2 linked regions of the Coturnix japonica genome follow. The protein of the gene in region 1 interacts with the protein of each later gene in a biochemical or structural test. Links are inferred from orthologs where the notes say so. Each region holds a gene or a part of one and is shown on either strand. Other genes may lie near its edges.

Region 1 (3,623 bases):
GCTAAAAACTAATAGGTGTCATGCCACAAGTTTTAAGTTATAGAACCTCACTAAATGATACCAGTGATCTGCATGTAAGACACTAATATACAACAAGTCACTGCTGGTAATAAGCTTTTTGACTGTTTGTTGTTGTTGTTTTAAGGGACTAGTAGGGTTGCAGTGGGGGAAAAGAGTGCAAAATGGCAACAAACAGACTCAAGACTTTTGTCAATGAAATCACAGTGTTGTGACAGTTTATAGCAGTTGAAGGTATGGACTAAATTGTTTAGAGCGCAATCTGCTTAATCATTCTGAAATATAAAGAGCTGGCCAAAGGATAAACACAGACATGTAAATCAACTTGTGGCATCTACTAATACCCTCAAGACTCAATTATTTTGATTAGCAGCATTTGACTACAGACAGAATGATAACATCTCTGCGGCAGATGTAATTCACTCGGAAAGGCTCTATAGGTCACCATGATATGAACAAAACAAGAAGCCCTAAGACTTTCAAGTCACAGATAGCTGTTCTTCCCTTGCCCAGTTACAAATGGGTATCTGATATTTATTAGTATCCAAAATGCAGAGGAAAAGGATGAGATACTAAGCACTAAACAAACGAAACAGTAAGTGCCTTGAAGATGAACATTTAAACATCAAGGCACCTCAGTCAAAGAGTAGTGTCGATTTATGGCCCTCCAACTCATCACTTGGTACAGGCTGTCCAACAGCAGAATTTCTGCAACTGATCACAGCAGTGTGCCATTAGCATCTCATCCATTTCCTTCTCCATCATCGAAAGATAATTTCCTCATGGATCAAAATCACCAGGACCAGTTTACTGACAGAGCACAAAAGAGGAGGAAAAGCCTGAGATAACCCATTTCTGTAGCTGAACAGTAAGTCCCTTAACAAGGCTGTATCTTCAGAGGGACAGAGAGGTACACAGCCACCTCTTCCAAGAACCACTGGTATTATTTGTAAATCCACATGAGCCCGCGTTGCCAAAGTTTGAGGGCTGTTTATGTGAGAGTCTGTCATCTAACTGCAACTGTGCAGTCACTAAAGCACCCAACATTGGCACAGCGGAATTGGCTCAATTTGCATCAGTAAGTGAATAAACAAAAAATCTCAGTATCGTAGTGAGAGTAACCAGATCTGTCTCAGATTAACATTTGCTTCAGTATGCATCTCCTTGTGCTTCCTGCAGGTTTTGTTAGGTCTGGTTCTTCATTTTAAAATAGGCGTTGGGGTATTTTTTTCTGAATTCAGTGTTTATTGCTGAAGGATAAATCTCATGATCTGAAGATGCTTTAACAACAGAAATTTCCACTAGAAAAATTAGTCTTCTTATACTTACACAGCATGTTAAAGTCTTCTCTATCTAGACTCCTGCTGAGGTAGAGAAGTCCCATTTTTTCTCTGATTTGAAACCAGTGATTTTCGTGGGATCTCGCTCGAGAAATGATGAGATTCTGGCACAGATGAAAGTGGGCTGTTTCCCCATGTGAATCCCTCAGGGCGTGGATGCGCAGGAGCGGTGTACCTGCTGGTTGGTCAATGTAGACGTTCTCTGAGTACTCCTTTCTGGGGAAGTACAGACCAAAGGAAGCTGCAAAGGAAGGCACAAAGCAGGAGAGTTCATCCCAGTTAACAGATTTTTGCATTGGCATTTTCTTAAGAGACACGCTTGCAAAGAATTGAAGGCTCCATTCTGTGAAGATTAAGGAAGCATTAAAAGTGATGAGAGTAATGCGGATCCTAATCTAGCATAAATCAGTTTTGCTGCACTCAAGCCAGGGACATCGCCATCAAAGACCTGGCTCATAGTTCATGCTGAAGTTGCACAGTCATCTACTTCTTAAAAGTGAAACTGCTCTGCTATAAGCATAGCCCAGTTAAAGCTGAACACTTAAAAAACATATGCTTGCCAGGTCCATACCTACACCTCTCAGGTCTTCTTCCAGTGTAAACAGACTGACTGAGTTGTCAGAAATACTGAGTAGCCCGACAGAGTCCTGGATTGCAATATGGTCATTAAACAGAATGATGCCTTCACATTTAAAAATAAAGTCTTTCATTTGAAGATAAGTAAGATTTGGGTGGGACTTTCAGAATCACAAAGAGACAGGCCAACATCTCTATCCACTGCAGCAGGCTGAAAAAGACTGATATCTTGTTTGGGTGCACTGGCAAACTGATGTTAGAATGAACTGCAAAGATATCCCACCTGCAACATATGTAAACAGTGATACTGGCATGCACTGAAGTACTGGAGCTGTCACACATGTCCTCCATCTGCACCTACTGCCCGTGGTTGCTCCCACACAACAGATCACTTGCAGAACATTCTGCAGAGTTTTTTTTATCATATAATCTGATTTGATAAGGAGTAAGACATGTAAAAGGCTCATACATCTGCTGAACGAATGAAAATAATTTCCACATGGTACAAAGACGGGACTGTTTTAGCTAAAAGCAAGCCAGGTAGAAATGGAAATGATGGCAGCAAAGCAGTAACAGTTTGGATATAAAGCCAAAACATCTTCCAAATACTACCAGGATGTATCATTTATTTTATATTGCTATTAGACTCATATGCTATTTTACTGAATGGAGAGAATGACAAACAAACTCTGAATGAGAGACCTCTCATTTCCTTCAGAAACACCACAGAAACCACTCTACCTTGCAATGTTTCATGACATCATTAGTATCCCTGGATGCAATTACATCCATGTGATCTACAGGACCCCATTACTTGTTCAACAAATGCTTTGCAATATGTGAATAAAGTAGTAAAGCGATGCAGTAGGCGACTTTGCTCCAGAGTAATTAATTCAAAAGCAAACCAACAAAAACCCTTCTTGGAGTTTTAGAAAAGCAATTTAACCAGTAGCTCCTAGAGCCCCTTATCGAGTAGAAAACAATTACTTCTCACTCTGACCCCATTACCTGAGCATTCTTAATGCATTTCCAATCTTTTTCCAGCCCTGCTGCCTGCCTCTTTTTGGAAGTGCAGGAAAGGATGGGGAATCCACACCACCAGGACTCCTAACAAACAGGTCCATTAATGAAAGGTATCGGGTGATATCCAAAGAGAAGGCCCAGCCCCGGTGCAAATACCCTTCGGGTATTTTCTATGAGATTGCGATTCTAGATTTGTAAAAACTTCCTCGCAAGAAATTCTATACCAGGTATTCAGTGCTCAATGAAAAGAGATTGATAAGTAAGTAAATAGATAGATAGAACTCACTGATGTGTGCAAGTGAGACTTTCACAACATTAGCAATAGGATGGAGGAATACTTATTTCTAAGACCAGGGTGAACAGCTCTAATGTGAGGAAGGACAAAGGGGACACAACCTGTGGCTTAAGTGGATATTAATTAGTTTCATGTTTCACTCAGAAAACAAGTACCTCAAATCAGAACTCTTTACAGCAATGTAGAAAGTTAGATGGCTTTAAAAAAAAAAAAAATAGAAAGATAAATTTGACTTAGCCATGTTATCGTAACAAGATTCATCCCATGCTGCTGATATTGAAAATGCTGGGATTTTGTTAAGTGCTTCATGCCACTCTTTAATCCCATTTCAAGCACTGGGAAAGATGAGAGGTATGCAACAGATTGCCCGA
Region 2 (4,127 bases), on another chromosome or scaffold:
GTCTTAGCTCTCACAGAATGTTGGGCTTAAAATGAAGAAAAGCACTTCCATTGTCCACTAACAAAGTTCACATAGATATTTAGAATAAGAAGGCCCAGGAATACAGCAGAACTATTATCCCCAACAGTTTTTACCTGAAATCAGCCCAAATTTCAGGCTTCCACAGTATATCATGCAGAAGCTGGCAAGGTTTTTCCCCCCATACGCTGTTTGCTGTAACCACTGAAATTTGTACCTGACCAAATACTTACGTGCATCCCAAAAATGCACACCACTGGTTATCAAAGAGGCACCCATCCATCTCCCACTTCCCAAGCTTCCAGCACTACTCTGCCTCTGAAAACAAGTCCTCTGAAAACAAATCCCCCGCACTCAACCTCCCACAAGAAAGCTCTTTGGTTTAAGAAAGAGATCTCCCTACAAACCCGTCCTTGTTTCACACATCACTGTAAACCTCTATGCCCATGGCACAGACGGGGATACAACAGCAGGGAGATGTGACAGCACTGTCCCATCCCATGCCACACTCTGCAGGAGTCCACTCAACTCCACAGCCATGTGTGCAGGAATAAGCTGCCCATGCCTTGCTGTCTAGAGGGCCATCTACTAGTTCAATACTGTCAGAAAACAAGCTCCCAGCACAATACTCTCCTGTTGCTGGCAGAAATGGCACATGACCCAGCTATGCCTTTCCTCTGCCAGCTGGGAACTCCCCACGTCAGAAGAATCCCTTTGCCAAAGAGATCCAGATACTTTTAGCCCATTTATACCCAGAGTGCTGCTGAGAACACAACCAAGGATCTCCTAAAACCTTTGTGACAGTTCTTGCTAGAGTCAGAGCCATTTAGGTGCTCTCAAGATAGTTGCAAATGTATGTTTTATTCACAAAGCACGCGGTATAGTCTTAAGCAGAACTACGAAACAGATCCGTTTGCATTTAGGCAGCACTTTTGGACTATACAGTAAAAACTTATAGAAGTACATTACTGAAACCCAGGTGTGGACATATCTAAGGATGAAAGCCAACTCACACAGCAGTAAGGGAGGGGATATTTTGATTAACAAAACCAAGGAAAGCCATGAAGTACCACAAGATCTTTAACAGGTAGCCAGGGCAAACAAGACCTACTTTAAGAACAAATAAAAGTCCAAGCAAAGAAAATAAATCAGAGCATAACGCGGTAAAACAACCACTGTATGAAGCAACAGGGTCCACCGCTCTGTCCATTTAGCACTTGGAACAAGGCTACCAAACACCGCTCTCTAGGCTTTATTGTTTGCTCTGCGCTGCATAGAATTTTAAAGCGTTCTGGTTCAGAGAAAGCCAGCCCTCAGTATCAGCACGTAACCATGCAAAGCCAGCCAGAGGAGCTCCTGCAAAGCTCTACTCTCGTGCAGTGCCGTTAAGTGAGCCCTTCGGACAGAGCAGCACGCTGCCAGCCCGGCACCCTCCCAGTGCCTGGAGGGCTGGGAAGCACAGCCAGAGCCGTCACATCAAGTTTCCAGCACATTTCCCTTTTCCACGCAGGTTTTCTAATCTCCATATGTTTGTTTTGTGTTTTTTTTTTCTTGTTTTTTAACCTGCCCTCATAACTCACTCCATTTAATCCCAGGATTAGCCTCGCTGCCCTTCTCCATACCTTTTCTGGTGCTCTAAGTACAATGAGCCTCCGGACGCAGGAATAGATCGAGCTGGAGCATTAGGGCATCACTGCCGTACGCCCCACCAAGTCTTTGTTAAAGCAAGGAACTGCTCGGCACCTTTATGGGGCATCACACTCCATCCAAATGTATTGGCTTCCCACATCCCACCGCTTCAATGCCGGTTGTTCACCCCCTTCCCTCCCCGAAGTCACTCTTTCCTAAGGAAAAGTAAGCCACGTTCTTGGGGCTGTTTGAGAAAACCCCATCAGTGCCGCTCTGACACACCAGCGGCACATGTTCCCGCTTCGACAAATAGGAACGCGTTGGGCAGACCACCACTTCAGATGGAGCAGGGCTCCGGGGCTGCTGAATCAGCACTTTCCGTCCCGCTGGCAGTACGGAGTTATGCGAGGCTTCAAAGGAGAGCAGGGAAAAAGGGGGGCGGGGGCGCTGGCACTTCGGCAGCACAAGTGGGCAGGAGGATTCTGCACGAGTTCGCCTGCCAAACCCATTAACTGCAAACTGCGCTTACAGAGATGCCACAGCGGCGCTCCCGCAGTTACGCGAGGGGAGAGCCGCGTGCTCGGAAGGCTCCAAGGGCCCCCCCCCATCAGCCGCCGTGCGCCGGCAGCGCGGCCACGAGTTACCGGGACAGGTCCGCAACCCGCCCCACGCCGAAGCCGGCTCGGGCCGCTGCCCGCGGGCACGGGGCTCGGCGAGGGGCGCCGGCGGCCCCAGGAAAAGGAAGTCTGCTCCCCTCCTCCTCCTCCTCCCCCGGCCTCTACCGCCGAAGAGCAGGCAAAGCCGCTCCGCGGCCCCGGCGCCGCCCCCCGGCTCCCCCCGGCCCTTACCTGCAGGGCTGCCGGCCAGCACCCGCCCGCCCGCGGCCCGCCGAGTTCCGGGGCTCGGAGGAAGGGGGTCGTGAGCGGCTCCGGCGGGGATGGGGGTGGTCTTCGTGTCGCCGGGGCTCCCACAAGAACACGCGTTTCGGAAAGCAAAACTTACAACAAAATTAAAAAGAAAAAAAAAAAAATCTTAGAAAGCAACCAAAAAAAAAATAAAAATTATGTATTAAAATTAAAAACATAAAACCAAAAACACACCCAGCACGCACGGGGACTTCCGAGCCTACCTAAGGCGGCCCCGGGCTGCGGGAGGGCTCAGCGGGGAAAAACTTCTACCCGCTCCGCTGCTGCCGCCACCGCTCCCTCTACTAACGGCGCCCCGTCGCCGCCGCGCGCTCGCCCCGCGCCCAGCTGACTCCCGCCGGCGCCCCGCCCCGCCCCGCCCCGCGCCCGCCCCCGCCGCACGCAGCCGCAGCCCCGGCCCGCGCCGCGGTGCCGCCGCCGAGGGCAGGGGTCGGGCGGCTGAGCCGCCGCAGCGCCCTTAGGAGCTGAGGGTCGGGGCCGGAGGGCCTCCAACAAAAGCACGCGCACAGGTAGCGCGGGAGAGTCCTTTGCGGGAGCCGGAGGGACGCCCCGGGGCATCTGCGAGTGTGGGGCTGGCCGGGGACTGTGTTGAACCTCCCCCCTCCGACCTGCCCCCGAGGATGGGCTGCCGGAGCTCTGACCCCGTGCCGTGCAGAGCCGCGACCGACCCGCTGCCAGCCGCGCTCCGGGCTGCTGTGCCGGCTGCGCTCGGTGCGCGCTCCTTGGGTGTCACTTCCGAGCGGTCCGGGACCGAGAGAAAGCTCCTACGAGAGCAAAGTTGGCCGCTTCCCTCCGAGCATCGCGAACCTCGGCGCAACCCGAGCTGCTCCCCGAGCAGTGTGTTCCCTACTGCCGAGCGGCCAGCGCTATGGAAGGAACCGAGGGGAATCGGGAGGAACCTCTGTGTATTTTCCCCGAAGCCACACAGACGCATCCCGATGGCACCGCGGGGCTGAGCTCCTCAGCCCGGTGTGTTTGGAAGTGTATCACCTCCCTTGCTCTCATTCTGCCTTCCTCCTTTGCTGTACCTCACTGTACTTAAGAGAATGGTTTTTCTACCAGTTCTCTCTCCCCATCCTCATGTTTTCAGCTCTTCCTCCTGCTTGCTCTCCTGCCGACAGCTCTATACCTCTCCATTTCCTCACGCACATTACACTAGTCAATCACTGGCCAAACCTGGCACCGCTCTGCCTTTGGCCACCTCCCAGATGTCCACACAGTGTTGGCATCCACCCCATCCCATACTACCGCCATGCCCTGGACCCAGGTCGCCTCTGTCATCCCGCTGCCACCTTAGCCTGCCTTGACTTTCCACCAGCCACTGCTTATGCTCTGAAGATGGAGTCACCTCCATCCTGTCTGGTACCAGGACCTGCATACCTGGCATCGTGGCCGCACATACTCACACTCGATTCCATCACATACAAAGTATAAGCAGTACTTGTTGGACTTGGCCAGGGTTTTTGCCATGGACTTCCCCATCACCAGTTCGTGCTTTTCTCCTGCCATGGGCATGGCCAAAGACTTCAGTGCTCACCTCTGTTGCATATAGTT

The links. The genes of interacting proteins can lie anywhere in the genome.
Region 2: the proteins of RET (region 1) and GRB10 form a complex in vitro, tested with the Homo sapiens proteins (2 studies listed by BioGRID). The link is inferred for Coturnix japonica from reciprocal best matches to the Homo sapiens genes RET and GRB10.

What each region holds. Positions count from the first base shown.
Region 1 is NC_029521.1:3,914,709-3,918,331, forward strand, and holds part of RET (proto-oncogene tyrosine-protein kinase receptor Ret), read right to left. Parts: intron 1,600-3,623; coding exon 1,348-1,599; intron 1-1,347. UniProt on the Homo sapiens protein: Receptor tyrosine-protein kinase involved in numerous cellular mechanisms including cell proliferation, neuronal navigation, cell migration, and cell differentiation in response to glia cell line-derived growth family factors (GDNF, NRTN, ARTN, PSPN and GDF15).
Region 2 is NC_029517.1:49,779,140-49,783,266, reverse strand, and holds the start of GRB10 (growth factor receptor-bound protein 10), read right to left. Parts: upstream 2,909-4,127; 5' UTR 2,777-2,908; exon of another isoform or gene 2,748-2,776; intron 2,645-2,747; 5' UTR 2,566-2,644; coding exon of another isoform or gene 2,050-2,565; intron 1-2,049. Other genes in the region: WAS/WASL-interacting protein family member 3-like, read left to right, coding at 2,050-2,565, 3,087-4,007.